Linked DNA regions of Oreochromis niloticus. The protein of the gene in region 1 interacts with the protein of each later gene in a pairwise test. Links are inferred from orthologs where the notes say so. Each region holds a gene or a part of one and is shown on either strand. Other genes may lie near its edges.

What was found.
Region 2: the proteins of pex6 (region 1) and pex26 come close enough for resonance energy transfer, tested with the Homo sapiens proteins (2 studies listed by BioGRID). The link is inferred for Oreochromis niloticus from reciprocal best matches to the Homo sapiens genes PEX6 and PEX26.

The regions. Positions count from the first base shown.
Region 1 is NC_031971.2:3,733,686-3,749,894, forward strand, and holds the start of pex6 (peroxisome assembly factor 2), read right to left. Parts: upstream 9,413-16,209; coding exon 8,855-9,412; intron 8,282-8,854; coding exon 7,676-8,281; intron 6,466-7,675; coding exon 6,296-6,465; intron 6,208-6,295; coding exon 6,124-6,207; intron 5,403-6,123; coding exon 5,297-5,402; intron 2,738-5,296; coding exon 2,616-2,737; intron 2,462-2,615; coding exon 2,356-2,461; intron 2,214-2,355; coding exon 2,011-2,213; intron 1,722-2,010; coding exon 1,535-1,721; intron 1,224-1,534; coding exon 1,147-1,223; intron 423-1,146; coding exon 305-422; intron 1-304. Other genes in the region: galnt7 (N-acetylgalactosaminyltransferase 7), read right to left, coding at 16,062-16,168. UniProt on the Homo sapiens protein: Component of the PEX1-PEX6 AAA ATPase complex, a protein dislocase complex that mediates the ATP-dependent extraction of the PEX5 receptor from peroxisomal membranes, an essential step for PEX5 recycling.
Region 2 is NC_031981.2:14,334,216-14,350,424, reverse strand, and holds pex26 (peroxisome assembly protein 26), read left to right. Parts: upstream 1-7,276; 5' UTR 7,277-7,343; exon of another isoform or gene 7,344-7,430; 5' UTR 7,431-7,444; coding exon 7,445-7,617; intron 7,618-7,703; coding exon 7,704-7,841; intron 7,842-9,058; coding exon 9,059-9,384; intron 9,385-9,485; coding exon 9,486-9,626; intron 9,627-9,730; coding exon 9,731-9,843; 3' UTR 9,844-11,075; downstream 11,076-16,209. Other genes in the region: hcls1 (src substrate protein p85-like), read left to right, coding at 1-145, 224-403, 2,789-2,951, 3,035-3,103, 3,335-3,471; llph (protein LLP homolog), read right to left, coding at 5,479-5,642, 5,834-6,050; usp18 (ubl carboxyl-terminal hydrolase 18), read left to right, coding at 11,993-12,050, 13,911-14,007, 14,126-14,268, 14,346-14,425, 14,515-14,649, 15,092-15,187, 15,492-15,653, 15,734-15,865 and 1 more. UniProt on the Homo sapiens protein: Peroxisomal docking factor that anchors PEX1 and PEX6 to peroxisome membranes. PEX26 is therefore required for the formation of the PEX1-PEX6 AAA ATPase complex, a complex that mediates the extraction of the PEX5 receptor from peroxisomal membrane.

The DNA.
Region 1 (16,209 bases):
CTGTAAACAGACAACCTGATGACACACAGAAGTCTTTACTGTTATATTCACTTTTTTTTGTAAATAAAGAATATTATGTTTACACAAACAAAGATCACTGCCTGTTGTGTCAGTTCATTTTTCCAAACATGGATTTGAATTTCTAAAAACTGAGTAAAGGTTATTCTTCTGCTTTAGTCGACTCCACCACAGTCTGCCACAGACAACCAGTCATGCACAACAAATTTGTGTGTGTGGCCTTATTAGGGGCGCTAGCAAAAACAATAAAAAATGGAAATATAACGTTCTTTTAGTCTTTGGTCACCTTCGGGGCCCCGATGGCCTTGGACAGGGTGTCCTGCAGGATCTCCAGAGCAGAGGTGAAGTCCTGGTTCAGGATGGTCACTCCGCTAGAGCACAGATCCTCCTGCTGCTGAGCACCACTGCACAAACAACAATAAAGACTGAACTACAGGCTGTTCAGCGAGACACCATTCTTCATTCTGTCACGATTAAGTATTCATTATTCATTGGGCGGTAACTCTCAGAGTAGAACAGCAGTATTTAAGACACAGACAACAGGATACGTAAGAGGCAAACAATTTACAAAGTAGCACTGTACTAACTGTTGTCAAGTGTCCTCAGTTCTTTAAGCATGAGGTATGCAGGGGTGAGGTAGACATGGTGCTGTGGAGAAGAAGCTGTCTCTCCATCTGAGGGTTCTACACCAGGGGTGGGGAACTCCAGGCCTCAAGAGCCGGTGTCCTCAGCATGTCTTGAAGTTCTCCAGAGGCCTGGCAATGAACTAATCATCTGATTCAGGTGTGTTGACCCAGGGTGAGATCTAAAACCTGCGGCCCTCGAGGCCTGGAGTCCCCCACCCCGGTCTACACCTTTTTCCAGGAGGCAGAAGGACGTTCAGTCGAGAGATGAGAGGGGAGCATTCAACCCTTCCATACTGAATTAGAGCTTCAGACACAAAACCCAAGAAGCTGAGAGCACCGAGCCACAGCGTTTAAATACGCCGCCGCCTCGCTGTTTCCAGGACCACAACCATCAAAACCAACATGTTTCAGAGACTGGGTTATAAACTACAGGTGATGAAGTATGACACATTTGATCTGGACTAGAAGGTAATCTTGTCCTGTAAGATGTAGTTATTCTCACCAGCTGTGGATCAGCCTCCTGTAGGCAGCTCTACCAGCCTCAACCAGCAAAGCACTGAGATCCCCCAACACAAAACCCTGTGGAGCAGAGGAAGAACATGTGGACTGAAACAGGAACCACACTCAGGAAGGGCAACCAGCATCGAAATCCAAATCCAACATGTGGATCCAACCAGCTGTGGCAACTCCTGAACACAGGAGCAGCTAGAAGAAGCTTTTAGGCTTTCATGGTTAGAAACAACCTGAAACCTTCCCCAGAGTAGCTTTACAAAGGTCTCTAATTTGGACCAACACAGCTGCCTAACATGTTTTCACCTGAACGGCTGAGCTTTAACGATAATCATTCTGCCCCAGTGGTGGTGTGAAGTAGAGTCGATGTCATTACGCACTGTGGTGAGTCTGGAGAGGTTCTCCAAGTTGACATCCTTCCCTAAGTGCAGGTCTCTGCTCAGGCTGGAAAGCATGGCACGCCGCTGCTCTTCAGTTGGACTCTCTATTGCTACCTGATGGACAAACGCTGCCATGATGCCTGCAGGCAAATCTCGAAGTTTGCAGACAGTTGCCACCATCACCACACTGAAAGATAACCACAGATACATTTCATTATATTCTGAGCCATGGCTCACACAGGAGACTTCCGGTTTGACTAAAAACACTTGTGCACGTCTCTGCTGCATGCTCTGAAGTAGAGCCGAGTGAAAGTGCAGCTGTTGGTGTGGCACCTAGTCAAACTCTGCGCTCCTGTAGTGGTGCATGGTTTACAGGTAGGGGATGTAATAAAAGGAAAGCTCATTTCATCAACATGATCACCTACTTGATAAGCTGGACCAGTGTATTTGAATGAGGGTTAGAGGCAGTCACTGACCTGGTGGGGGCACAGCTGAGCAGCTGGCAGAGCTTTGCCTGGACCCTGCAATCGCTCTCGGCAGCCCCTCGTGATCTGAGGACGAGCTGCAGGTTCCTGAGTAGCAGAACGCAGGGCTGCAGGGCCTCGGCCCTCTGAAACACTGACGCCAGCTTTACCTCAGAGGCTGCAGGACTGTCAGCGCACAGGCTCACACAGTCTACCTGCAAACGAGATACAACAGCAGCCAAACAATACGCTGCCTTTTATTTAAAGACAAAATATTCTCCTGCAGAGAGGAATTAAGAAGAATGTGCTGATGTCTAATTATCTTATGATTCTAAAACTTGAGCACGGCTGTTGTACCTTCAGCAGGTGGAGGTTTAGTCTGCCACTTGCTGCCCTCACTGCTGCCATCTTTCCACTTCCTGCAGCACCGTGAAGGAGGACAGTGCAACCAGACAGAGAGCTGCTGAGAGCAGACATGCAGCCAACATCAGCAGTGTGCCATCATGCATCCCTCTGTTACTGAACTAGGTTTGTTTATGTGAACTTCAAGCTCAGGTCCTATTGAGTTGTATTTTTCACTGCCTGCTGTTGTAAATCTGAGCAGACAGGTCGGTTACCTGTGCTGCAGGTGAGGCAGGATGGTGTCGATGAGGAGCTCCACAGTCTTGTTAAGGCCTGGAGGAGACAGAGCTGCTCCCTCCAGGAGAGAACATGGGACGGGGCTGTTTATAGATGTTCCCTGAGGAGATGGGGGGAAGCTGTCAGAGCAACAACGCTGACTAACAACAGCTTAGATTTAGAAAAGACTGCACCGTGAGTAAGATCCCTGCAAACAAACAGTCTCATTTACTTGCTGTGATAAATCAACAGTGCCTGCAACCCTGTTATCCCCGAGCTAAGGCAAATAAGGCAGAATATAAGAAGTGCAGGCACAGAGGACATGAAAGACACACACACATGAACGAGGGACAAAAATAATAATAAAACTGAGAAGGAAAGAAAAACTACAAAGACAGGAAACATGACAACAAAACACTGAAGATGGAAATGGAGATCAAATAAAGAAAAAACACAAAGATGTAGAAAAATTATCAAGCGAAAAAAGAAAAAAGACTTTCGGCACATTTTATAACAAAATACACACAACTCACGTTTCATCAGTGCATCTATTGTGAGTCAGGGCTCCCCTGAGCTAGCATCCTCAGACACAGCTAAGCTGCTGTCTGACACTTTGGGAAAAGAGCCTTTATTGGACAGATAGAGTGAAGACAGACATGAAGGCAGGGACACAGAGAGGGAAGCGGGTCGGACTCGAACCCACTGACTCTAAAAATGGGTTTATTCAACGGTTTAACTAAAGCATTGAGATCAGTTGGCTGACATGGCCACTAAACCATATCTGGAAAAACTCTAGTAGCTTTTACAGGATGTGTTACACTGAAGTATTCACCAATCAGTTTCACAGCATTCAGCTGCATCTGAGCAGACAGTCCAACCCTGTACACTTCAAAATGAATGGTAAACAGACTGATTCTTATATAGTGCTTTTCTACTCTCCCGGAGTACTCAAAGCGCTCTATACAACACGCCACATTCACCCAATCACAGCCATTCACACAAGCACTGTCTCTAAACTGAGTGCTTTCTAACTACATTCACACTCCAATGGATGCATCGGAGAGCAACTTGGGGTTCTTGCCAGGGACTGAACCACCAACTTTCCGATTAGTAGGCAACCTGTTCTACCTCCTGAGCTACAGCCACCCATAAATGCTACTTGGACCAGTAATCCCACAATCATTCATGAACATCAGTAACCCAGTTTCACTGGCAGCCATATCCAAAATAAGTATTGAACACATTACCAACTAAACGGATGTGTAAAAGTGCTGCTGTCCATAAATGTCCATACAAATGTCCATAAATGATGAAATGGCACGGGGAGACAGTACTGAACACATGAAGAAAGGGAGCTGCAAACAGGCACCAGCTGAACCCGATCAGTAATCAGAAAGCAACACTCAGTGCAGATATCAGCTGGTTCAGTCCCAACTGATGGCCTATAAAAAGGCGTCACACAAGAAATGATGGTCAGACCACTGAGCTCTCTCAAGACCTTCACAGCCTTTTTGTTGCAAACATACTGATGGCATCGCTTACAGAAGAATTTCTGAAGTGAGCACTGCTGGAGACCAGAACATCTAAAAACTCTCTCACTCGCTCTGTCTCGCTGCCGTTACCGTCACTCCCAAAACTCTCCCCTCTTCCTAAACAACCAAATCTCACGTGTTGACTTTTTTTTTTTTAATTGGTCGACATGGTGCATTTTTCCACCGATAGCAAAGAGGTGGCTTTTTTTCTTTCTTTACTGTTTTCGCGCTGTCCTTAGAAAACACTTAAAACACACACACACAAAAACGTGACGACAGTATTTAGAAAAAAGCGTGGCTTATATATATTATCATAACTCTGGATTTACTGGCCTGTAATTAAAATGTAAAAACTTTGAAGTCCGAACTTTCAGTGTGGGCTGAAATAGAGACTCAGCGTGGCTGCAGCTTGTTGCTGTGTCAGCTTACATCAGTCATGTGATTTGGAGGTGCAGCGTGTCCGTGGACCACAGAGGGTTAATAACACTCACCTTCCTTCCATTTCCAGAGTGTAACATCCAACCACCTGTGTAAAATCAGAAATTCCCATGGTGTTGTTCAAAATGTGCTCTGGCACAATCATAAGCATCGCTTGCTACTGAAAACAAGAAAAAAGCCGGTCCTGCTATGGGCTGAACCATTTGTTAATGGTGGAGGGGGGGGGACACTATGCAATATATTCAGTTTTAGCATTTATATTCACTGTTTGTATGCACTTGCCACCCCATGCCACCCTTCTAGATCCGCCCCTGATCAGCTCCCCATAAACTGGCCATGGCCAGCTGCTGCCCTCGGGATTTCAGACAGAGTGAAAAGAATTACTGAGAGTTGTCCAAGGGGCCGAGGGGCTGACATGTGGAGAGCCACAGAAAGACTAAGGACCTGCAGGTGCAATAGTTTCAAAGAAAACACAAGTAATCCACTCAACCATGACTTGTATGCACGTTCATCACACATAGCTGAAGGAAAAAGCGTGTTGAAGAGTGTTTAAAGTTAGCTGAAGAACATTTAGACAAGCCTGTGAAACACTGGTCTGGTCAGATGAGACCAAAATCAAAGTCTCTGGATCCAATAACACACCGCATGTTTGGAGCACACAGAGGAAATGAAATAAAGAAGAATGACTGAGGTTAGCTGTCACTGTTCACCAAATAGAGCGAGGTGTGCTGTCTGCTGGCCAAGTAAGCTCCTCCTCCTTCTTCTCTTCCTGCAGATGAGCACACCTTCTGCACCCTGAAGAACAGCACCGGACACCTGAAGACGTTCAGAGGAAACACACTTTTCACTGAACAGTCACAGACAGAGTGATGCAGTGCATTAGCTACGTCAGTCTGAGGTCAGTAAACAGTTTCTAACTGCAGCCGTCTCTGGTGCCCTCCAAATAACACACAGCATCCTCCACTGCACCAAAGAATAAAACAGTTAAACATTAGTTTTCTCTCGTCTGAGCTTTGTTGATTTACTCTTACAGAAATCTGATGATTATGATGGCCTAAATGAATCCACACCATGGAGTCACATTAACTGTCTGGGTCTTTGGTTGCTTAATAAGCTGTAGTGGGAGATTGCAGCCACTCCTCCTCCTCAGCCTGTTTCGACGAGAATTCAGAATTCATTTGAATTCATCTGATTTCTCAGGATTTTTCTGCCTATTGTTTAGAGCTCAGCTCAGACAAAATGGTTATTGTGGATGATTTTAACATTAATTTAGAAACTTAAAGCCTCAAAGTGGTTTTTGATCTATTAGACTCAATTTGCTTCTCTCCAAATGTAAATGAACCCACCCACCAATGTTGTTCTGACATTTAACAGTATTCTCGGAGAAACCTCGTCTGATCATTTTATTTATTAAAATGTTTGAATTATTTTTTCAAAAGCTTTGATCTTTAACAAAAAAAGGTGCTCCTAAGAAACACTGATCTGATTTAGGTAATGAGCATAAAGACTTGTGTTATTAACCAGTAGTAAGCGGCACCTGTGGATCCCCTCAGAGTGGGTCTCGAGCAGGTCTGGATGGTTTCCAGCTGGAACAGTCAGAACGTCTCCTGGTGACACCAGCCTGAAACGAGCCCGGACAAACTGCTGGAGTAAAACAGTGCTGCTTTCTTTCTACATGTTAAGGACACTGTTTGGATGCATCAGTCAACCTGGGAGTGCAGAAATGTTGAGCCAGCAGGTTGTCATAGCAGCCCAGGTTGTTGTAGAGTGGAGAGGTGACCGGCTGGATGTGGAGCTCGCTGGCATACGGTGGAGAAGCCAAGCGGCAGAACGTGTCAGAGCGGCAACCACCGGGCTGTGGAGGAGGGGGGTCCCATCTCTGAGACCAGACGAGAGACAGAAACAAAAATAAAAAACCAAACACTGACGATTTGCTGATGGGATGAAACTTTTTTTTTTTGGCTTCACAGCAAGAAGGTCCTGGGTTCAAATTCAGGATATTTATGGTGTGAAGTGTACAACCCTGAATAACTTTAAGAAGAAGGAAGGATCAAAACAGTTCAACTGATTAAAAATGAGTCTTCAACAAATATAAAATGCCTGCTGGTGCCAGCTATTACACCGACACTATATTTGAATGAATTTGGAATCCTGGAATATAATAAACTCTTCCAGATTAATGGATTATCAGACAATCAGACCTATACGAAAAGAGCGACCTTCAAAGGTCAGACGACTGGTGAACATTGGCACTAATGCAGTCTATCAGACAGCTGATTCCTCTGTGAGCGCCCGCTGAGCGCTGAAAACATTCGTGCTGTTGGTTAAACAGATATAAAGACACGCTGTGTTTCTTCTTAGTTTGGAACGTCTGGGTCTGAAAACACACAACTCTCCTGTCAGAGGTGCAGTGTGCTTTGAATTTAAAAACCTGATATTCGAATGTATCTGAGGAAACAGACTTGCTCACAGCTGTGCAGTAATTTATTTATCCGACTCTGCTGGATCCAGCTGGTGGCTGTGCTTATAGTTTTCCAAACACATGTTTCCAAGTTGAACATACTGTTTGTGGCCCATGTCTGGTAAGGATGAGCAAAAGGTTAATGATAGCAAGCAAACCCTGACTGGTTCATACTCTTACCTACTTCTTTTTTTTAAGTGCGGACCAACTAGAGAACAACGGGCCCGTGGGCACAGACGTGTTACGACGGGGCAACCAAGAATAAAACTGATAGACTGGGAGTTACCATGCACTTACTCTGAAAGTTCAGCCTGGCTCTCTCAGTCTTGGATGGGCTTACTGGTTAGGTGTTGTGGTTCCTGACATAATTTAACTGCCTCCTCACAGCAATGCACTCCTTGGCTGCAGCTGGTGACATTTCTTCTGCTCTGAAGACTCGCTGTGAGCTGGTGAGCTACTCTACATTCAACTGGTTTGCTCATCGAGGCTACGGAGCAGAACAAGGACGACTGCCACCAGGTGCAGTCCACCCACAATGCAAAAAACCCACTGTGCAGATGGCTAGCTAATCTGTTATCTGTTTACAGTTGCTTGTTTATTGAAGTGTTTGCAGAGTGTGTTAAAGCACCTTCATCCTGAGCATAAAGCTGTTCACAGGGATCACTTCTCCTTCAGTCATGTTGAACCACAGAGTAGGTGAGATGAGGCCCAGGTTGTCATGGCTCTGTAGTTCTGGACTTGGTGGCAGATCCATCACCACCACAGAGACCAGCCTCTCCCTGCAGATGGCCCCCGTGACATCGCCCTCTCCTATGGGTCCTCTGGATTCGCCGAGCTTCGACAGTCTTACCCACTCCTGGTTGAAAAGCCCCAGTCTGAGAAGCAGCTGTTTGGTCACAAACACACAACTGTCCAGATCCACGGCTACCCCGTGTTGTTCTTTGAGCTCGAGCCATCGCTGGGTGTCCATTACCCGAACTTCCACTCTGCATAGCAGTGGACACGGGACACCTGGGAACCCAGAATCCAGCACGCTCCTGTTATCAAGCAGACATGGGCCAGCACAAAGGCCATCAACGTAATGAGCAAAGTCTGACACACAGAGTCTGAGCGGCCTGCAGGGTGGGGGGGTGACTGAATCCCAGCAATCTGTCAGAACCAGAGACGTATCAGCTGTGATCCTCCCCTGTCTTACAGGACTGCACTCCAGCACCAGCAGCTCCAACAGCTGATGCTGCACCATGAACAGAAAACAGAAGCAAATCAGTCTGTATTCTCACATCTTCTCTATCATATCTCTATTTTGGAGCTGTAACAAGAAGCTGCTCAGTGAAAAATGATTCACTGCGATTATTAGAATCAGTGAATCGCTAAATTTAGAGCTTTGAACAAAACAAATAACATGCGTTTAAGTACTCAATCAGTCCTGCTCTTTGTCTTCAGCTGCCACATAAACATCAGACTATCAAAGATCCAAATGAGAGCATTGTGTTTAAAATATTAAAGGGCGGGCGAGATGGCCTCAGAATGATTTCACCATAATTCTAACATTTACAAGTGTAAGTAAATAAAGGGCCTTTTCCATCCTCGTCTTACTAATATGACGTGTGAATCTAAAGCAACAAGCATCACTACATGAGTCAAATATAAGTAAAACACGTAGGCTAACCTGCACTGTGGAAGTATCATAAACATTTGTTGCTAGTTAAAACAAACATTATCAGTTGAAAACAGAAACGATGTTTACAGCATTTCTTCACAGTGGGATTCTAAATCAGTGTGGGGACAATCTGGCTCTGAACATCACCTGTCCTGGGTCTTCTCCCAGGATTGTATGTCGGGGGAGCAGCAGCGGGTCTCCTTGCCGAGCCAGCAGCCAATGTCCCGGGCGGCAGAGTTCCAGCAACCTGTCGCTGAACTGCTCCGATCCAGCCAGGCGGAGGCTCTGCCTGCTGCGGGCTCCAACTACGACTCTGTCCAGGCTGACGGGCTCCATAGCTCGGACGGTTCCGGTACCTCTGAACTGCTGGAGCCCGTGGTGCCGCAGGAAAAGCCGGCTGGTAAAGAGCCGAACCCGTGGCGCTGACTCGGTGTTGGCTGTAGGACAGGTCACTCCGTCGGCCGTCTCTTCCTCGGTAGTTTGGTGAACACGCAGCAAAATGCCCGTCCTGCCGGAGCCCTGAGGCCCCTCAGGCGTGAAGAGGACGGTCGGCGGATCAGTGTCATTTAGGAAGACACGGTCCAAGTGTGGTTTTAACATCAAAACATCCAGAGGACTGAGGTGAGACGGGAAAGTCTCCAAATAACCCAGCTCAACCTGAACCGCCATAACTAATCTTCTTCGTTGCCTCTGCCGCTTCCTCATTACTGCGACCCAGCGGACGAGTAGAGGTACTACAAGAGAACCTGAGGACGAGCTCGATGCTTGGGTTTTCGTTTCTTTTCATTACATCTAACGATATACTGCCGTGTTGGGCAAGTTACTTTGAAAAAGTAATTAATTATAGTTACTAGTTACTTCTTCAAAAAAGTAACTGAGTTAGTAACTGAGTTACAAGATTCTAAAAGTAATTAATTACTTGAAAAGTAACTATTGTGTTACTTTAAAAAAAATGTTTAACCCTGTGGGGTCCAGGGTATAATTGGCCATTTTTAACTACTTTTGATTTTCCGTCTACATTTCACCTTTAAAAACTATTTACTTTGCCTTGTTTGGTATCATCCTTTTCAGCACAACCTCAAGTGTCTGAATTTAGTCATGTTTTGACATACTGTATTAACACAATTGATCCAAAATCAGAGTCTAAGGAGCTTGGAAAGAAAAGCGTCTGGACTTCTTTGAGTTGCTTGAAGACGTTTCACCTCTCATCCGAGAAGCTTCTTCAGTTCTAAGGTCAATTGGTGGGGAGTCCCAGATTTAAACCCAGTGGGAGTTTCCCCCCCAAAGAGGGACAAAGGACCCCCTGATGATCCTCTACCTAATCACATGAGCCAAGGTGTGAAAGCGGGTGTGGGTCCTAATCAGCCAGGGTTTCGGGTGAGCTCATTGTGAAACCTGGCCCCACCCTATCATGTGATTTCCTGAGGTCAGATGGCCCAGGATGTGAGTGGGCGTTAAGGCGTCTGGGAAGGGAACTCAAAACTGGATTATAGATGGCAGACAGTTGGTGTCGTAAACCACCACCTCTGTTCAAAGATGGTCGCTCACAGTGGACATAGATGGCTTCTTTCACTCCTCTTTCAAACCATCTGTCCTCTCTGTCCAAAATGTGAACATTGGCATCCTCGAAAGAGTGACCTTTGACCTTTAGATGCAGATGAACTGCTGAGTCTTGTCCTGTGGAGGTGGCTCTTCTATGTTGTGCCATGCGCTTGTGAAGTGGCTGTTTGGTCTCTCCGATGTAGAGGTCTGGGCATTCCTCACTGCACTGTACAGCATACACCACATTGTTAAGTTTGTGTTTAGGAGTTTTGTCTTTCGGGTGAACCAGTTTCTGTCTGAGTGTGTTGCTGGGTCTGAAGTACACTGGGATGTCGTGCTTGGAGAAAACTCTCCTGAGTTTCTCTGATACACCGGCTACATAGGGGATGACAATGTCTTCAAGCAACTCAAAGAAGTCCAGACGCTTTTCTTTCCAATCTCCTTAGACTACGATGACCTGGATGACTGAGAACCTTCACAGACATCTAAAATCAGACAAAAAAATGAGTAGAAAAAGTTATAATTTTTACTGTAACAACCACATACATGTTTATTGAATCATATTTCATAACTTTAAATGCAAATATAAATTGTCAATTTTAAAATCATATGCACATGTTTTGCAAACAACAATTTATATTTGCATTTAAAGTTATGAAATATGATTCATTGACATTTTACCCTTTTTAAATAACAATTTCAAACTATTTACAGAACAATCAGCTGTTCTTCAATAAGATGCCACACAAATTATTTGTGCCACTCCAAAAAAATCATTTCTGTCCACTATAAAGGAGAACATCACAGCCTGATACCTGCAGGTCTGACAGCAGCAGGTGTGTCACTCCTGTTTCTACCCGGAGACAGCAGTCGCCTCATTGTTCTGACACACAACACAACTATCCACAACACTACACACTAACTACACAAGACAACACATTAACTACACACTCCAAACACGCTAAACGTCACAAATCTCTCACATCTCAAAACTCGCTCTCTCTCTCTCCCTCGCCATCACTCCTAAAACTTCCCCCTCTTCTTAAACAACAAAATGTCATGTTGCCATATCATTTTTGATTGGTCGACATTGTGCATTTTTCTGCCAACATGAACAGGCTGATTTTGTTTTGTTTTGTTTCTTGTTTTTTGGTCATAAGCAGAGAGTGCTTGCTAGCGCTGTGCTTAGACGTTAAATGTGACGAAACTATTCATGAAAAAACGCCGCGTACATAGTGTTTATCATGACTCTGGTTTTACGTGGCCTATCAACACAATTTAAAAACTGGTATATATCACCTTGTTGCTTTGTCATCTTGAAGTGGTCATGTGATTGGCTTACCACGACTACTTTATTCTTCCTCAGTCAAACAGCAGGTGTTGTGCCAAAAAGTGATCGTCAGGCAGAAAGTGATTGCCGTCCGCTGTAGCGCCCAGATTACTTACAGCTACTTCCGTGCAGCTGATATAAGATGCAGTAAGCTAAACACAGCTTCAACCGTCTGTTTGTTGGAAAATACTAACGCGACCGCTCCGCATTTTCTTGTTAGTAACGGTAACGGCGTTGTAACGGTAGGAATAGTAGGTTACTCATTACTGAAAAAAGTAACGCCGTTATTTGTAACGCCGTTATTTCCATCACTGATACTGCCTACCACGAATTTACATTACACTGAAAAAATAATGGATTTCCTTTTTATGATTTTATGATGATTATTTGTCAATTAGTTATGTGAAAATGTAAATATGTGTCAAACTGTAAGAAATTCTTATGAGTAAAAGTGAATATTATCAGCACAATGTTCATGGAGGGGTACTGCAGAACACGCCGTGACTGACTCACAATACCATGGTGTGTGTGCTTCTCAAGGTTTTAAATACTTCATATAAAGATCGTTTAGCTATGTGGTGTCACCAGACAAATCTGGCAAAATGGAGAAAACCCCAGCAGCTGTTTTGGGACAATGGGAAGGAAAAACTCCCTTTTATCAGGAAGAAACCTTCAACACAAGCAGACTCAGAGAGGGATGGTCATCTGCCACGACTGGTTGGGAGTTACTGGAGGAAAAGCGGACAAAGACATGCTGTGGAAGAGTGCAGGAGATTATTAATAACTAATGCATAAATGCAGAGTTGTGTATAGACGCATAGTGAGTGAAAAAAGGTCAGTGTGGTTTAAGGATGTAGAATCTGTGTAGAATAGACCTCTCTGCACTGAATCACACTTGTTATTAATGTCTTCCTTCTCTCGTCCCAACCGGTCGCAGCAGATGGCCCCGCCCCTCCCTGAGCCTGGTTCTGCCGGAGTTTTTCATTCCCACTGTTGCCAAAGTGCTTGCTCATAGGGGGTCATATGATTGTAGGGACTACCTTACAATATAAAGCGCCTTGAGGTGACTGTTGTTGTGATTTGGCACTGTATAAATAAAATTGAATTGAATCTCTTTTGTTCAGTCATGTGATGCTATTTGAGCTGCAAAATGAGTTGCACAGGATTACTGAAGCATGAGGTATATCCAACTCATCTGATGCCTATTAAATGAAACCTTACCAGTGAAGGTAAGTTGTTGTTGTTTCATCATTGTTGCATCATTTTATTCATCTTCCTGATTTTGGATTATGGTGTTTGTGTTACAGACTGTAACATGCATCTCTTCTTTGATTGAAAATCCTGAATCAAAGACGCCCCCAAGCTACAGTTTCCCTCGGACACCCAAGTGGACAGTGTTGGGGAGTAACGGAATACATGTACCGCCGTTACGTATTCAGAATACAAAATATGAGTAACTGTATTCCGTTACAGTTACCGTTTAAAAAGGTGGTATTCAGAATACAGTTACTTTGTTGAAATAAATGGAATACACGGCGGTACTTTCCTGTTTCATATTGTCGCGGGTCAGACTGTTTGGGTTTGTTTGACAGCTACGTTCTGTTGTTCCAGGCGGCAGCGTTACGGTTGCCATGGTTACAGGGTGACGCGCTCTCTCTCTGCGTGTTTCCTGGGTGAGAGAGCGCTTTTTTGTTGTTGTTGTTGTGCTAAGCTAAAAGGCAGAATGCTACAGGCATAGCTCTAAAGCATGTAGCCTCATGGGCAGTGTAGTCCGTGCTGCAGGGAGAATGGACTGCCATACCCGTTATGTGTCTGTGAGCGAGGGAGGGAGAGAAAGGAAAAGTCCGAGCTGTCACGGAGCAAAAACGGGAGCTGGAAGCATGTAAATATAATAATAACCACTGCAGCCAAGAAGAGTGCCTGACGAGCCCAGTTGTAAGTAAGCTATTAAGACTCAACTGTACACTGTGTTCGTGTTTTCCTCCGGAAAAAATAAGTTCCGTTGGAGAAGCCTTTCAACGCCTTTCTCTGTCTCCCGCAAGCAAAGTTGACCCAGACAACAAAGTAAAGCTAGTTTTCGGCTACCAGCCCGATACGAACCCGACGTATTAGCCAGAGGTCCCTTTACTACGTTTCGGAGCCGCGGACCTTCAGTAACAGTAATAAATCACAGCAATAGGACATTCATGTAGTTGTAAACAGCACGATAATATATGAAGTAATCCAAAGTATTCAGAATACGTTACTCTCATTGAGTAACGTAACGGAATACGTTACAGAATACATTTTGGGGCATGTATTCAGTATTCTGTAGTGGAATACATTTTAAAAGTAACCTTCCCAACACTGCAAGTGGATCTACCCAACAGTATGTGATCCTCACAAGAAGTGATAGCATAGGTCTTCCACTTGGAGAAGAAGGGCTGACAAGCACAGAGGACAAGCTGGTCAAGATGTATTTGGTTTGCAACCTTGTTTATCCCGCCCAACTGCAGTCTGTCTTCTCATTTCTGGAGCACATCTATGAAATCCCCACATCCAGAGTTATTGCACTCATCTCTGTGTGGTACGCACCATTACAGTGTTTGGACCTACATAACAGGTTAACTATGACACAAGCAGTGAACACCTGTTTGGTGAAATAGTTCACATGCCTCCACAGTGTGAGCAGGTACAGGCACTGCTGTGTCACAGTTTTGTCAGCTGAATATTTTGATGATCCCTTCTATGTGTATGTGTCAGCTACAACTGATTTAATGTTGGCGACCTTTTAGATCAGAGACCACTGAGCCTGTTGTCATGATGCAGAATTTACTTTGATCCCCAAACTCTGCAGGTAATTCAAGCAATTTAATATTGTTTAATGGGCCAAGTTTATCATCACTGTTTAATCTTAATGACCTTACACAGGAGCATTTACAATTGTCTGTTAGTGTATTTTGTTGGGAAATTTAGGGGTTTTTTTCCTCTAAATCTTTTTTCTGTTTACTTTTTTCACAAAAAGAAATTATTCTTATTCTTTAAACAGAAAGAAGAGCAGAGAAAAAAGTGAAGCACACTGTACAGCCTGCAACACCGGACACATCCAACTGCAGCTCCACCCCTCCGTCTTGACACCTCTCGCCTTTCCTGCCCGACCTGCTTTAGACTGCAGGCTGTGTCACCACTTGCGTCCATAACCCTGCACATCTTTGGCCTGTGGGAGGGGTCGTATCCATAGTAACCTTGTTGCTGTGAGGCAAGATTATTGCACAGGTCTGATGAAGTAGTCCCACTTCAGTCACACAGTTACAGTAGTAAAAATCAGGTCATTTATTTCCTCAGCCCATATTATGAAATCTCTGCTATAAGTTAGCTATTTACAAGATCATTCAAGCCCTCCACAAAATTCATCACGATCATCTTTAGAAATGATTATTTACACAGTACAAAACATTGCATACGTGATCATCCAAACACTAAAGCCCCTCCCTGCTGCACACAAAACAAAAACATCTTTTCTTTTTTTTTTTTTTAAACCACAATAATTGTGCATTTTTTACATGTTAATAATCCTGCCCCCAACCCCACCCCCGATTATTACTGAGTCACAGTACTGGTCAGCTACTAAACTCTATATTCCTCATCCAGACTGTCGGTAAGACGGCGACCCACACATCCTTTAGAGTATCCCAGTGTATGTCAGAGAACAAATGAAGACCGTGAGGAGCAAAGCGCTAAAGTTCAGGAGTTCATGCTGGTTTGACAGCTCAGCACAGAGGAAGGAAATGCTGCCATGGCTTAGGGACACGAATGGGAGGAAATCCTTTTTCTTTGCCTTTTCAACATTTTGGTAAATGAAAATAAACTCACCAATTAGCCAAACTGAGCCTGTGCAATCAAAATCACACTTAGGCCAGATGAGGGGATTGTTTGTGAAGACTCCAATAAAACCAAATCAAAGCAAACACGACAGCAGCGAGTCATCACGTCCAAATATTCTTCAAAAATGTGCTGCTTCTCGCTCTTTTCCTCAGTTAAACTGAGGATCTTCTTCATCCTGGTCTTTTTTCAGCGGCAGACTAAAAACCACACCCATGATGATGATGATGATGATGATGATGATGATGATGATGATGATGATGCGACTGAAGTCTAAACTCTTTGGTAAGCGAGCTCATCAGTTTGGCTGAGGACTAAACAGACCTAATAATCTTAAGACTCGATGGGATTCATTTCACAAATGCAATGAGAAAATTAGAAAAGACCTGAGAGCCTGAAAGGACAGAGACAGTGTAAACAACCACCAGGGACAGTTTAGTGTTCATCCAGCAGCTCCGGATCACACTCTTCTTCTGGAGTGTCAGAACAACCTTCACATTTGGGCCGATGTCAACAGTTAAACCATTTGGGCTTCATTTTGTTGGAGGTACACCAACACCTGGGTGTCAGGTATTTTTCCTGTAAACGGATGGTAGGGACAGATCGCTCTCCCAGATGTCTTCACACAGCCACGATATTATTCATCTCCCATTTCTGAGTGGTTTTACTGGTGTCACAGTCTGATACGAACACTTTGTGAAGCAGGTCGGAGCGGTCCAGACATTTTCCTATAAGGAGAACACAGCAGCGGGATTATTGACGGACGCTC
Region 2 (16,209 bases), on another chromosome or scaffold:
AGGTGCAGGAAAACTGAAAGCACGCTTTGAGAACATGGCCAAGGCTTCCGATGAGGAGAACAGGAAGAAAGCAGAAGAAGAGAGAGCGAGGAGGCAAGCCAGAGAGAGCCGAGAGCGAGAGGAGGCCAAACGCAGACAGCAGCAGGTACGCTGCACTGCAAAAATCTAAAGAGCTACAAGGTGAGCTGTTTTCAGCTCACGTGATTGATGTTCTTTCTTTTAGGAGGAAGAAAGAAGAAGAGAGGAGGAATCTCAAGTACCACCAGTTCATCATGTTGATCCAGAGGACGATATGCCAACACCAGAAATCCACCGTCGCACTCCAGAGATTCCAGAGCCGGAGCCAGAACCAGAGCTGGAGCCAGAGCCAGAACCAGAACCAGAACCAGAACCAGAGCCGGAGGTGAGAAACACATATGAAAAATCAGATGTACCAAATAACAACTCGTGTTTAAAACATGGGACTCATGTTCACCCATCTTTCCACCAGCATGCACATATTTATATTTTTTTGTATATATAGGTATACATATACATATATATACAAAAAACTTGAATTTTACTATATTTATTTATTGGATAAAATAAGTTAAATGTCACCGCTATTATAACAGCGGGGGTGTCCAAATTCAGAGGCTGCATCCACCTGAGGACCCGGCCTTCGCGGTCTAAGTGCCCGGGTCCTCTGAAAGCTGGGTAGACCGGAGATGAGCGACTGCGATGGTCTAGCCTTCAGAATTACGTCACAAGCTCTCTCGGTGCAGTGAAACTCTGCCGTCTGCTCCTTGCTATCTAAAATATAACAGGACACTGGCATAAATTCTTGACCGTCTCACACTTCTGTTTAATCAGTTTTCTGTTTGACGTTTATTCAGCTGTGTGAAAACCCCGGAGGAACCCTCCCGAGGGATTAATAAAGTTTTATTTAATTAAATCTAATCTAATAACTTTAATCTCAGCCAAACCCATTTACTCACGAACAAATAAAACACTGAAAAAGGCCAAACAATAACATGTTTAAGTTATCTAAGTGTCTTATATATCATGTTTAACCTGAGTAGCAAAAGACCGCGGGGGTTTGAAAACGATGTGCCGGGAGCTCGTTGTTCTCGCCGGCTCAGATATTTGAAGTTTACACAGCTACATTCTCGCCTGAAAATATGTTAAAAGTTTATTTTGTGACCCAGAAAGAGTAATAAGAGTAATATTAAAACTAAGTAGCTGCAGTAGTAGTAGCCATTGTTGGAAACTGGAATTGGCTGGGCCATGCTGGGATATGGTTTTTCAATTTTGTTTCCGGGTGGAAAATCGGGAGAAATTCGGGAGAATGGTGGCTCCGGGAGATTTTCGGGAGGGGCACTGAAATTCGGGATTCTCCTGAAAAAATTGGGGGTGGGGGTGGGGGGGGTTGGCATGTATGCCAATCCATGACTGATAGTGTTTGGTTGTGTGCATTGTGATTTATCCAGGTATCCTGGTATTTCAGATACTGTTCATCTGCTGTAGATAGTTGTTTAGATCTGCCACTTCTTTTCTTTTGCCCTCCACTTTTCCAGTTTCCTCAAATTTTTTAAGGACACGCTGCATACCATACTATCAAGATATTCTGTGTTTTTAGCTAACAGCTCTTTGGGAATCACCTTTTTGGTACAAAGATACTATTCAAGTCTGTCAGACTGTCTTATCTTTGAAATTTTTCATAAATTCATTAAAGAAATGGAGACAAATTATGTGTTTTTGTGACAAATGTGTTTTTAGGCAAAGTCACAATTTAAAACTGGTTCTTTACCAAGTTGTCTTTTACGTGTAGACACCTAATTGGTGAGTTAGGTGCCTTTTTTATCCTTGGACAATTCACAGGTCAGTAGTAACATAATTCTGCAGAATTTTTTGGGTTTGTGGATGTGGAAAAGCAGAAAGAAAATAGGTCCTATGTGAAAATGTTTACAGCAGACTTTGAGGCTATTAGTTTTTTTTTTTTAACAAAAAAGGCAAATACCATGTGGTGCAAAATGCTGTAAAAAGAGAGACATCTTCACAGCTGATATCTCCAAAACTCAGCAACTAACCTAATTCAGTCTCTGGAAAGGGTTCCTTTCTGATTATCCTCACCTGTGACGCTTAACTACAAATTATCTAACTCCACTTATGAGTCAAAGGTAGCAGAAGAGCATCATCACACCACGATGAAGGCCACAACACTGAAAAGTTAGCACGTTTGATAACCTGCTCCTGAAATTTTAAACAAGTGCTACTTATTTACCTTTGAGTACTCAACGTCTCTCAGTACTTTGTGACTTCACTCCTTTGCCTGTTGCACACAGTCCCAGTGCTTCTCACCGAGGACATGAATGTCTAAAAGACAGCGACATGCAGACATTTGCACCCGCAGGATGGAAATTGTCATTGAAGCCCATTAAATGTTGTTTTTCATCCCTTTTTAAGAAGCTAAGATAAGTAAGTTGGCCTTATGTTAGATTTTATACAGATGCCGGACATTATGGAACAAAGACATGGCTTTTTAAAGGAGCCCAAATTAAAATATAAAGGAATAAATAAAATAACAGCCTAAATCAGCACCTGGAGACATTTAAAGATGGGTGATGAACAGAAAGAGTTGGTTCCAGAAGTAAATTTAAGATTACAGCATATTTTTCCCAAATTATCCCTTTGTCCATCTCAAAATTCAGATGTTTAGCTCTAAATATAATACTGGCATGCTACTGGGACTCATCTCAGCTCACCTCCAGGATTTGAAATCGGTGACTTTGAGCATTGCTGTTTTCAGGAGGAACCAGAATACGAGGAGCCCCCGGCCTTGCCACCACGATCGGACGATTTTGAGGAACCGGGCGCCCCTCCTCTGCCTGAAAGGTCAATAGAAGTGGATGATGATGGTGGAGAGTATGAAGACATCGGTCATCCCCCTCCTCCTCCTCCTCAGCGTAAAGGTGTGCCTCTAAGCAAAGCCGTGAGTTAATCAGGACCCCTTTCGTGGCTACTGATCATTAATCTCGCATATTTTATCTCCCAGCTGACGATAACGACTATGAAGACCTGACATGTGGCCAGAAGGCAATTGCAATTTATGACTATCAGGGAGGTAAGACTCTCCATTTTCTATGTTTCATGATAAATGTGACCTTGTGCACATATAAATGTCACACCTACACATTCAGTACTCATTGTGGAATAGCTGATCTGGGCTACTTTGGTTTGCCTTGTTTACACACTGAAAGGGGATCGTGAGCACAGGTGTTCCTTTGGCCTTTGACGCGGTGACACAAGTGCTTAAATGTGAGGATAAATCCTTTGCTTTTCTTTTTTCACACAGAGGCCGATGACGAGATCTCCTTCAATCCAGACGACATAATCCACAACATAGAGATGATTGATGAGGGCTGGTGGAAGGGACAGTGTCACGGACGTACCGGTCTGTTCCCGGCTGCTTACGTTCAGCTGATCGAGTGAGCAACACGCTCCCAAAGTCTATTTTTGCACAAGCTTCACTTAAACAAACTTCAATATTGTTGAACAGAGGGAGGAATTTGTATTTAACAATCAAATCAGAGCAAATTTTTTAAATCAGTTGATTTGTGTAATATTTCGCTTTGAATGTGCCGACTGGAAAAGCATCAGGCCAATCCTGATCAGAAGCAAACATGTACACCTCTGCAAGGAACTGAGGGTATATGACCTTATTCTTCATTTCTTTCACTGGATTTTTATTTACCAATGTAATCACAGTCATGACCTGAAATGGCTCTGCTATTCTAATAAAATCCTCCTGGCAACCTGTGTTTTGTCTTTCCTCTGATGCGGTTACACTGACCTAAAAACACTGTTTTGTGGAGCACCAGCTGATCATTTTAGCCATCGCCATCTTGGTGTTTGGACACAGTGATAAGTGAGGTGATAATTAATCCTTAAACATGTAACGACTCTGCAGCGGGCTATGCATGATTTCTTGCGCACTTAAACGTTGCATGTTCATCAGTATAACACCATGTTTATGTTAGTATTACAAAAAAAGGGAGGCATTATGAAGTGTGGGAAGGAAAATCCTTAATATGTATTCTACTGTGAAACAGTAGCTTCAAAGCTATGCAGGCCAAGTCATCTTCTCTATGCACAGCCACAAACCATAATGGCTGGAGAACATGCGTTTCATTATTCTACCCATGTTTACAAAATTAAATTATAAGAAGCCAACATTGATAATAAAACATTTTGTCTAACCCTAAACAGTAAAAGTAGAAAACCCTCGCAAAAAGATTAGGCCAGTATCACGTTAACTATGGCCAAGCACCGGCATTAAACAGGTTACTTTATTGTGCAGCGGTTTAGGCAGTTACCTGACAGGTGAAACAGAGCTATAACTGGGGAGACACAGGTCTGGCCTTTTATGATATACCTCCATAGCAGCCACTGCTGCACAGATATAGCAAAAATAAATCACCAGATGATAGACATAGCCTATGATGCACATTTTAAGAAATGTTAACGTTTTCCTTTTCAATATATTGTACGAGCCGGACCTTCTTGTAATTTTTTTAAAAGTGCTTGACTTCGGCTGCTTTTTTTTAAACTCATTTTCAGCCCAGTCATTGTACCCGACCATTTCAGAGGAATATTTGTTTGATTGTTGAAACGCTTAACACTGACCTATGAATCATTCAAGCGTAAAACCCCCCCCCACCTAACTCAAGATATGTGTATACACATAACAGACAACTTAGCAATGAACTAATTTTAAGTTGTGTTTACTAGTCTGTCACCAAAAACATCATTTATTGTCATTTCTTTAGTTGAATGTATGAAAAACACCAAAGATAACACAGTGTGAGGGGCTTGAAATAGGAGTTTTGCACCAACGAGGTGATTGTCGGCATATCTTGGCATGTTGTGCATGCAGTGTGTCCATAAAAAGAGGAAACCGGACAAGTACACGATAAAAGCGGCACCATCACATCTGCATCCACCATGCACTTTTGCACTGTTCTGTAATTGTAAAGAATGTGCATAATGAATTAAAGTTATGACAAACAACAATTGAAATTATAAATCATATTAAAATACTAATAATTCTGTTTTTTTGACACACCTCCAGGAGTTGCATGATGTCAAGAAAATGAACAGAACAAATCATAGGACAGATTTTTTTATGGGAGTTTAGAGACTTAACTTGCGGCAGAGAATACACGTGCACCACTCACATTTCTGCAGTCAGACGCACTACACACACGTTTTCCGTGCGCTGATCTCAAGTCAGAGAGGGTTTTGCTGTTCCATGAGAACAAACCAGTTTCTGCAGTGAACTTTTGTACGATCTCAGGCTCTGTGGCAAAGCCCGGGAATCTTCAAATCCACCAGACACAATGAAATTTAATTAAGAAACACAACACTTATCACAAAAGGATGCTGTGTTTCAGCTTCCAGAGTCTTATAGCTAAAATGACGGTCTTCCCGTTTGGTGGTTTACCAGGCAACATTCTTCTTCTTCTTGCCCTTGCCACCTTTCTTTCCCAATCGTTTGCCCCTCATTTTCTTGGCCTGCCGCTGGCTCATCCACGCCGGATACTGTCCATGTTCATCCAGAAGAGTTTTCTTGTTGCGCTTGCTGTCCATGTCCATCTTCCCATCTGAAACACAGACACACAGCAGTGAGGACGGCTTCAACATGCTCACAAGCGGTTTCCTCATGTTTGCAAACGATACATGTGGCACAGAAAAATGTGTGACATCACCTCGAAATTTAAAAAAACAAAAAACCCCCCCAAAAAATCAAAACAACAACTATTAAGGCTGCTGACTGTGGTGCTCACTGTCTTACCATCAGGTTCTGCCTCCTCCATGTTAACGTCGGCCTGCTTCTTTATCTTCTCAGCTGGCACCACTGTGGCGATCTCCTGCATGTCAGTCATGACGACTTCTCCTTTCTTATCAAGGGTCAGAGCTTGTTTCAGACGATTCAGCTCCTTTGGAGCGTTCTTCTTCCTCTTCTCTGCCCGCATCTTTCGCTTCCATTTACTCCGAAGGCTTTTTGCCATTTTAAAGATGCTGCGAACACATTAACAAATCACCAGTCAAGCAAACTTGGGTTCACGAATTTTTAGGACTTTCACATGTATCCATACACCACGCAACAGTAAAAACAAGCGGTGAAGACAAATGGATGGTCTGAGGCGACATGTCTCGCCAATGACTGCCGATTTCTTCCACACTACCTGAGCTGAAGCCCAGGATTCAGGAGGATGTTTGGATTTTAATTAATCTATGATTTACTTTCAGGAACGTCAAGACGATGTATATCATTTAAATATGACACCTATTTGTGTAGGTAGAATGAAAAAAATCCATTTATAACGTTTTTTTAGTAATACTACTAACAAAACAAAAAAACAATGAAAATAAACTGTGCAACATCTTTACAAACTAACTAATAAAGTTAAATAAACCTGGGAGAGAAGTCTAAATAAAACTGATCACGCATTCAGACTGTCTTCTTCTACACCTCTATAAACATTGAGCTGGTCTCTAGTACCCAACACTGATATTAAAAATATTAAAAAAATCCCAGCAGATCAGCATCTTCTTAAACACTCAGACCAACAACTATGCCGCATTCAAACTCACCTACATCACCTTTCTTTCACATTTCACTAAATCCACCGAGTTGCTGCCGCGTGACTGGCTGAATCGTAAACAGATGTACCTTACAAAGTGGCCGACGCGTGCAGTACTACAATTTCCCTTCCATGATTAATAACGTAAACCTAAGGACTTTATAGGCAAGTTAGGATTAGCGAATCCACTGAGCTGTTAAACCTCAACAAAACGGGAATGAGCAGCTTCGGTAATAAACTTTAACGTTTGGTCTGTTGAACATTTACAGCACTAACATCATCAACATCATCATCATCATCATCATCCACCCCCCTCCAAAAAGAAATGGTAAAATGCTGTTAATTCCGTTTAGTTACACGATACTGGCCGTCACAATAAGCCTAGCAAGTTAGCTACCCAACTCCTAATGAGGCACCAGTCTTAAAAACACATAAAAATAGCCTCGTTCCCTCATTAAACTCATACAGGTGTAATCATTAATCCACTATATGACATACAAGTCTGACTTACTTCCCACAGAAGCAGCAGATGAGCTTCTTGACGCTTAAACTGTGTGAACAACACACTCTTCTACTCCGCACACGTGTTTAGAAGCTTGGGGAAAAAATGAATCACGTGCTTTGGAAAGAGCTGCAATATGATTGGCTGCCTCGGACATTCTGAAGACTGTGGCTTCTGATTGGACAGTGGACTAATACCAGGAAGCTAAACGGAAGGTAAACAAACCGTTGTGGAAAATTTCGTGCTTAGCTGCAAGCTAAAGTGCTTTAAACCCTTTGAGTGTTTGTTGGGTTTGTTTTAAGTTCATCCGGGAGTCATGAACAGCTTCCAGGCCGCCAGCCCTCCGCTCTCTGCTGCTGTGACCCAGATGTTCAACACGCTGGAGTCGGCTGCAGAACAAATGATGGTGCACAGAGACTTCCAAGCGGCTTTTGACACATGTCTCAGAGGTCTGGAGAGTCTCGATGGCCTGGAGCCCGAGGACAGCAGGTGAGGGTCCTGAAGCTTCACGCACATGTGTAACTGGAAGCTTGGATGTTTGTGTTATAACACAAACGTCTTTAATGTTCCTGCAGATGTGCAGAGCTCAAGGCTGGTTTCTGCATCTTAGGGATTCAGGCTCTGGCTGAGCTCAATCAGTGGCGTGATGTCCTCTGCTGGGTCCTGCAACAGTATGAGCAGGAGAAAATACCAGCGAAGATCATGCAGATGTGGTGAGGAAAGAGTTTCATTATCATTATCATTATTATTATTATTATTGTTGTTGTTATTGTTATTAGACACTGATCTATTGATCCCCAGCCTTTGGGCAGGTGGACACAATATGAAATAAAGTATAAAATACAAATCGTATTAGGGTTCAAATATGCAAATTCTCCAAGACATGTTTTTTCAATCAGCACATTTAATCCGCCATTAACTTAATCATGAATTAAAAATGAAAATAAAATTTAATTATTTGTTATGAGTGCTGTTATAATCAAACCTTATATTAATGACTTCAGCCTTTTTTGATAAAGAAATGTTTTTGTAGTAAATAAAAGACATCTGTTATCACAATTATTTAGGCTTAAATTAATAAATGTGTAAAATGACAGAGCAAGTTCCACTAGCTCATTGCCCAGACTGTCCCATAAATATAAAACTAGAAGTTTTGACTTGATGAGCCATATTTTTTTTTAATTATTTTTTTTACCTAGTGAGGTCACATTTGTGAAAGCCCACACTGTTGTACAAAGTGTAAGAAAAAGTGAACTTTTATTTATTACTCAATTGCTTTGATGAGGTCTGAATGGCTATGGAAGAGGTCTTTATCTGTAGGAAAAACTGTGAAGTCCAAAATGTATACCCTCCAAAGCTCTGCAGCAGGCAAAATTGGAGACTGTAATCCCAAATCTACTATGTCAGTGGGTAGGTCCAGTGAAAAATGGTTGGCTTTTTTAAATATTTGGACAACGACTGGAAATGGGTGATAAACTCAAAAAAAATCCTACATAAAAGTGACCTTTTCTAGTAACGAAACAGACATTTATCACACCCTGATATCCATAAATTTGGAGCCAAGGTTCCCAGATACTGTGCCAATACTTAGAAACTCTTTCCTATTTTAACCTCTGACTTCTGGGACTGATGATGACATGTGTGGTGCCTTCAGAATTAAAGACTGAAGGACAAGAGTGCAGGACAGCCAAAATAATTTATTTCTGCTAAAGGGGGTGATGTGTTTGTTTGTGTTTTACAAAGAATTGAGAGATATACATGATCACACAGTGGATTTTAAGTCAGACGATCAAGATATGACTCACATGTAGACTTTAAGCTTTAACATAAGGGGTTAAGAAAAGTATTGCATTAACTATTTAGGATTTTTTTTTCTTTAAAAAATTCAATAAAATTCTTACTAATGTGATTTTGTGTCTCATTTTGGCAGTATACTTCTTTACTCCAAGGTGGGTGAGCCTGCTGTAATGCAGGAGGTGACCAGAGCCTGGTTACACTACCCGTCCAACAGCAGGGCGACTAGCTTCAGGACCGTCGCAGAGCTGTACCTGCTGCATGTCCTTGTGCCGCTGAGAGAGGCAGACGAGGCTCGGGAGCTGATCAGAGGCGAGGTTTTTAGCAGCGCCTTCACAGAAGAACACAGACAGACAGCGCTGGATATCATAGAAGAAAAAGAGCGACAAAATCAAGACCCTCCTCTAAATCCCAGGATGAGTGGAAGCTCTGACGTCACTGAACATCCTGTCTCATCCCAAGGTCTGACACTTCAGCCTAAACCCTTATGAGATGCATTACGCCAAGCGGCCTAAAAAAGACTGAAACTGTTAACTGTTTGTGATTTTGCTTTTGTTCTGCAGGTACTTTAGTCCATAAACTTGAGGCTGTGATCAGGTTTTTATACCGAAAACTCCTGATGATTGGTTCTGGCTCATTCCCTTTCCGGAGAATCTTTCTGACTGCCATCCTCCTCTACATGCTCTTTTTTCGGATGGATCCAGGTTGGGTGAAATGTTCCTTAGTTCTACTGGTACATCATCATCTTTTAGAAGTTAAAATAAAAGTGACTGTAAATGCGTTTCTGTTGTGCTTTTTTTACCTGCAGCTCTCCCGTCTGCGTTCATGTGGATTTCGAAACTTCTGCAGCTGCTCAAACAGATGTGGAACGCCATGTTTGCACCCTATTATCAGGCAGTCACTCAGAGCAAAGGACTGTAGAGGACTGAATATGCTAGGTCTATCATTTTAAATGAATTCTCTAAGGACTGTTTGTAAGACAACATGGATGATATTCACGTCAGATCTATAAAACATTTAAAGCGTCCTCATTCCAGGAAAATAGCTTCTTTTTTTTTAAGCTGCAGACTCTTCAGCTCACATGACACAGCTTCCCATAAATTCTCCCCAGCTCCTCACTAATACATCCTTTGTTTGTCCATCTCAAAGCAACACATGAATCATCAAGAGTCTGATGTGTGTTTTTTTTTTTTTTCTTTTCCTTTTTTAAGTCTGGGAAGTGACTCACTGTTCTGGTTCAGAGTACCTAGAATGATGAGTAGGGGTAAGAAAACAGTTGCAATCAGTGTATCACTGTAGGAATCTGAAATTTGTTAAATGATTATAACAATAGTTATAATAGTCAGTTTAAGTTTTGTGTACTGCAATGTGCTGAGGTCCTGTGGCTGCAAAACAAGCCTAAACCATGACCCCTCTGCCACTGTGCATGACATGAGGTGTTTGTCCTGATATGCTGTGTCTGGTTGTCAACAAACATGGTGCTCTGCATTACAGCCAAACATTGCCACTTTGGTCTCGTCTCTCCAAAGGACATTTTTAGAAGTGTTGCACTTGACATGCTAACTGAGGCCGGTAGAGTCTTGGATGTATTTGTTTGCACGTCCAAGATCAAGCACTGGGTCTGGAATTTGCTGGGACGTTTACTCCTGAGAAGATTGGCGACTGCTTTGAATGTTTTCCAGTTGTGAATAATTGTTCTCACTGCAAAATGATGGACTTCAGATTGTTTGGAAATGACCCTATAACCTTTTCCAGATCGATGGGAAGCCGCAGTTACTTTTTTAACTCTTTCCTCCACAATTACGACATTTGACAACAACGTTAATAGGTGTGAAAGATGGACAGAGATGAAGTTTTTCCTCCTTGGCGCTGTGTTAACACATCGGAATGCTCCAGTCCAGCAAACTGCCGAAACCTCAGCTTTTATAGAAGTGGTCATGATCAATTAATCAAGTGCATTTGATTTTCAACATGTTACCCTCTTAATTCAAATGGAAGCTGTCAGATTGTACTTAGTTTTTCACAGGATTGGATCTTAAGAAAATGCACTTACAATGTAAAAGTGAAGATATTTGTTCTGCATTTAAGTGTCCCTGTGACTGTTCTTATGTATTATTTTATTGATAATTCTCATAAATGAACCTTAAATTTTTAAAGGGTAATCAATTTGGAATTATAATTTTGAATTCTATGTGTGGATGTGACCGTGTGTTTGATAGGACAGAATCCAGTCACCTTATTTTTTTTTTTTAAAATGGATGGATGGGTAGTTAAGTAACTGGTTACCTAACATGCTGTCAGGCCTTTCCAAAAGTATCATCAGTAAAAATTTAAAGAGGGAAAAACAAACTTTTTTATAATCTTATATTCCTGTTGTGGAAATTTGAAATTAATTTATGTGAAGATCTATTAAATTTAATCTTATGCAGCACTGTTAAGCAGTTTTAAATTTAAATGTTTAAATTGTTTTCTGAAAGCTTACAAGTAGCGAAAAAAGTAGAATAAAAGTGTGCAGGTAAACGTACATGTCCCTCAAGTTTAGAAAAGGTGGTGCTGCAGTAAATCAGAATATATTATCTGTAATTCATAAAGTTCTGCATGCATGTAAAAAAAAATTAGGGGTCTTTTTTTTTTTAAGTGAAAGTCACATTAGTTTAATCGCATTTTTAAAGTGGGGCTGGGGTCACTCATTGCCCCCCTCTTTGGACACGCCCCTGGGTACAGGTGAGAAGTATTATTATTAAGTTGCACACAGTGGAAATACTTGAGTATTCGAGTACAGAGTACTGCCTGTGACTGTGGAGATGATCTGGACCCATGTGTCACCAATGCTGTGTAGCTAATAAGCGCCGACGTGATCGCCGGCGTCATAGTTCCAGCCGGTTTGCGCATGACAGTTTGTGAGTTTCGTTTCCAGCAAAGCGAAGAGAAAGCTGTAAAATGAAACTGTTGCTGGGAACTGTTTCTGTGGCGCTGATGTTTACAGTGGGGTGAAGTACAACAAACGCTCGACCCTCTGTTGGTTTAGTGACCGTCCTGAGAGCCTGAAGAAGAGCAGAAGGCTGCACTGATGTCTGCTGGGATCTGCTATTGCTTTTCTAGACTTACTCTGGTGAATCACTTATTTGGTAAGCGGAACATTCTCAACCCGATGGTGATGCTTTTATATTATTTCCTGTTTACTTGAGAACTATAAATACTAGTTTAAAGGTCCTACTTCAGCGAAATGCACGAGATGCTTGTTAAATAAGATTAAAGCTCCTCAACGAGTCGTAGATGCACTCGTTATTAATGTCACAGTAAATAAAAACGGAACAATTTTGAAGTCAAGTTTTATTCACAGATAGGAGAAATTCTTTTAGTCAGTTAACTTTCTAAAGCTGTAGTGCTTTCTCGGTCATGAACAGTCATGAACAATGTAGTGCACAGTGTGCTAAAAATGCTCTCACAGCCACTTTATTAGGTACACCTTGGTGGCGCTGGAAACTCCTCACGTGACAGCATCGCACATTTGCTCCAAATCTGTTGGCTTTGCATCCATGATGGGAATCTCTGTTCCACCACATCCCAAAGGTGCTCTACTGGATTGAGATCTGGTGACCGTGGAGGCCATTTGAGTACAGTGAACTCATCGTCACGTTCAAGAAACCAGTTTGAGATGATTTGAGCTTTGCGACATGGTGCGTTAACCTGCTGGAGGCAGGTATCAGAAGATGGGTACACTGTTGTCATTAAGAAATGGACATGGTCAGCAACAACACTCAGGTAGGCTGTGGTGTTTAGGGCCAAAAAGGCCCAAGACAATACCCCCCATATCACTCCCTCTCCACCAGCAGCCTTAACTGTTGATACAAGGCAGGCAGGATAAAGCCATGCTTTCATGCAGCAGAAATCAAGATTCATCTGACTAGAAAACGTTTTTCCAGTTATGTATTGTCCAATGTTGGTGAAGCGTGTGAAGTATAGCCTCAGTTTCATGTTGGTTACCTAATTTTAGTCAATATTTGAGTTGCTGTTTCTACTCTTCTAATCAGCTTGAAGCAGTCTGGTCATTCTCTTATGACCTCTGACATCAAACTTTACAGACCATTCTCTGTAAACTCTAGGGATGGCCGCGTGGGAAAATCCCAGTATATCAGCAGTTTCTGAAACACACTAACAACCATGCCATGTTAAAAGTCACTAAAATCACCTTTGTTTCCCACTCTGTAACTCCGTTTCAACTTCAGCAGGTCGACTCGACCACGTCTACATGTCTAAATGCTCTGAGCTGCCAACATGTGATTGGCTGATCAGATATATGAGTTAACATGCAGTTGAAAAGGTGTACCTAATAAAGTGTCTGGTGACTGTATAATCTAATTATTTACTGGCTGATCTGTTTAAAGTATGCTAATAATCATTAACTGTGAAATATGACTTTAAAACTAGTTTTTGGACTAAAAACCGTAATCAATGTTTTTATTACATGTTGCTCCAATAACACGAGATTAAAGGACTAGAAATTCAAAAACATTCACAAAAGATCTTTATTGTGTGATTATGAATATGATCAGACAGCTATCTGATCATATTCATGTTCATATTTACTCATATTTATCATACTGGGTTGTTAAAGAGGTGGTAATGTTGTTTAACAAACCTTTAAAGGATCTCTGCACCTCAAAGGAACTCTTTAAACCTCATAAATTTCAGTGACACAGAAACCAAAATACTGACCGTGAGTCTGTGTGAAATGAAGTCAACTTGCTATACATCTGCTCAACACGGGGCCTAAAACGAATAAACCGAACAAGCCTCACGCTCAGTGATCTTTAAAACCATGATTTGCTATTTTAATAGAATATATATCAAAAATGTGGGGTTCTCCACAGCTGACTGTGCTTTTCCATTTTTATTTATTTTTACACATGCACACACCCGCTGGTGCTCTGGTGGGTTGATTCACGGTGTCACAGGCTGTTATTTAACCCCTGTTACTCTTACAGGGATGAGAGGCCTCTCCAATTATTGTCTATCATGCTGTGTGAACAGCTTGCTGCAGACTTTCTCTGTTACCTGGGAAATAGCAGAACTGCTAGAAAGGTAATCACATGAATTACTACAGCCGCTTTCATCTTGACTCAGTGATGTTGTAGCGCCACTTATTGTGGAAATCCTAAGGCTGTTTACAATATTAACAAGCTTTTATGAATTTTAAAAGGTGGGATGTAGCTGGTGCGAAAGGAGATGCTCATAATGTCGCGCTGCATCTAAAGAGAGTTCTTGAGGCCATGCGGGGTGACCTTCCTCAGCCCGCTCCACATCGTGACTTCCTCCACTGTCTGGACCAAAACAACTTTCGACGTAAGAGCCACGCTTTTGCAGAGAAAATATCTCCTGTCGATGTGTCTTATTTTATACCTTCTAATGATGCTTTACAGTTAATGTGCAGCATGACGCAGATGAGGTGTTCCTCTCGATTCTCAACTTCATTCACCAGCAGATGGACAACAAAGTTCTGGTTGGACTGCGATCAAACTACTCTAATATTATTCATTTCTGCACGTGTTATCTACAACAGTGTTTGTTTGCATTTGCCCTCTCTGAAAGGCTGGGGAAATTCAGGATCTGTACAAGATTTCAGTGGAGACGAACCTGCAGTGTTTAAAGTGCAACTCCATCCAAACCGAAACCAGCTACATGCTCAGCCTGCCGCTTTATGTAAAGGAGGATGACAACTCTCTGGTGGGTCTTCTTCTTCTTTTGTTTAAGAATACTAAAACTGTTGGGAAACACACTATCTCTGTTTGCTATTTTTTTCCCTTTTATTGGAGGCCGTATCTTAAAATCCCGAGTTTTTACAGCTTATTGAAGCCAAAGATTTTAGCCAATCCTGATCCAATCATATGGGTGTAGTAAAATACAGCATTTTAATATGTAATACTTCCAACTGGGGAGTACATGGGGGGGGTTATAAATACACAAAACACAAGTGTAAAAAGGGAGAAAACGCACAAGTTTATTAGGATTACAAAAATCAGAGTCACCAGCAAATAGTCCAGCAGAACCACTCATAAAAGATCAAATGAATGACATATGACTTGTTAGGTTACAAACCTTAGCTGTATTGCATTGTCACTGTTTATTTTAGTCACTATTTATTTTGTTACATTTGTCATATTTTCAGGAAGGCTGCATGAACTCCTTCTTCGAGCATCAGGAGCTCAGGGGCATAAACTCCTGCTTCTGTGCACACTGTGGAACTAAGAACCCATCCAGACAGGTGAGACTCAGGTTTAAACCCTCCTCAAACACATTGAAAAGGCTCTGATGAAATCAATTACAAGATGTGTGAATGCGTCATTAATCTGTATTCTATTATGTCAGCTCAAACAATCATTGTGAAATCTACTTGCTTGTTGTATAACAAATCTGTGTGTATCTGTTTTTCTTCATTGCTTCAATCTCATAAAAATATCTTTGAGGAAAAAAAACATATTTAAAGGGCTGAGTGGATGAGAGTGGGTGGGTGAAACGTATTTGCCAGCATGAACATGAACTCAAATTCACTCATTTGTTTTGTTCAGGGTGTCAAACTCCTCTCACTGCCTCGTATCTTGTGCATGAACCTGAAGCGATTTCGGAACAGCCGCGGTTCCACCCGCAAACTTGACTGCAGGGTTTCTTTCCCAGAAACCTTTGATTTCTCCCAGAGTCTCCAACATGTGTTCTCCGGAAACTTTGCACAGGTTCGTCCGAATTCTTTTTTACGTGAATATTGCATCTTTTACTTGTGAATACTCTGATTATTTATTTGTTTTTCTTCCAGAATGAGTGCAGGTACACCTTGTACGCAGTGGTCGTGCACTGTGGTTATGCAATGTTTGGGCACTATACTGCTTACGTCCGCCACAGGGAGAACAAGTGCTGGTACTATGCAGATGATAGCCACGTACAGCAGGTACATCAGATCTAAAAAATAATTACAAATAATCACAGTATACAGTTAGATGTGAAAGTATCTGCAGATATCAAAGGGAGAGAGGGATGTAACTTTTTCCCTCTGTGCTTCTTCTTGAATTGCAAATTTCTGATGAATCTTCTGTCTGATTCTTATTCAAATCCACAGACTACCTGGGAAGAAGTGCAGAGAACATATGGAGGAAGACAGAGGTAAAATGCCCAGTTTCTGATTGTACAGGGGGTCATGAAGTCCTCTCAGACGTTTTACACTCATGAACTTGAAGCTGTCTACGGCAGCTGGAAATGGCTCATCAAAGCTTAATGAGGATACATTTTAACCTA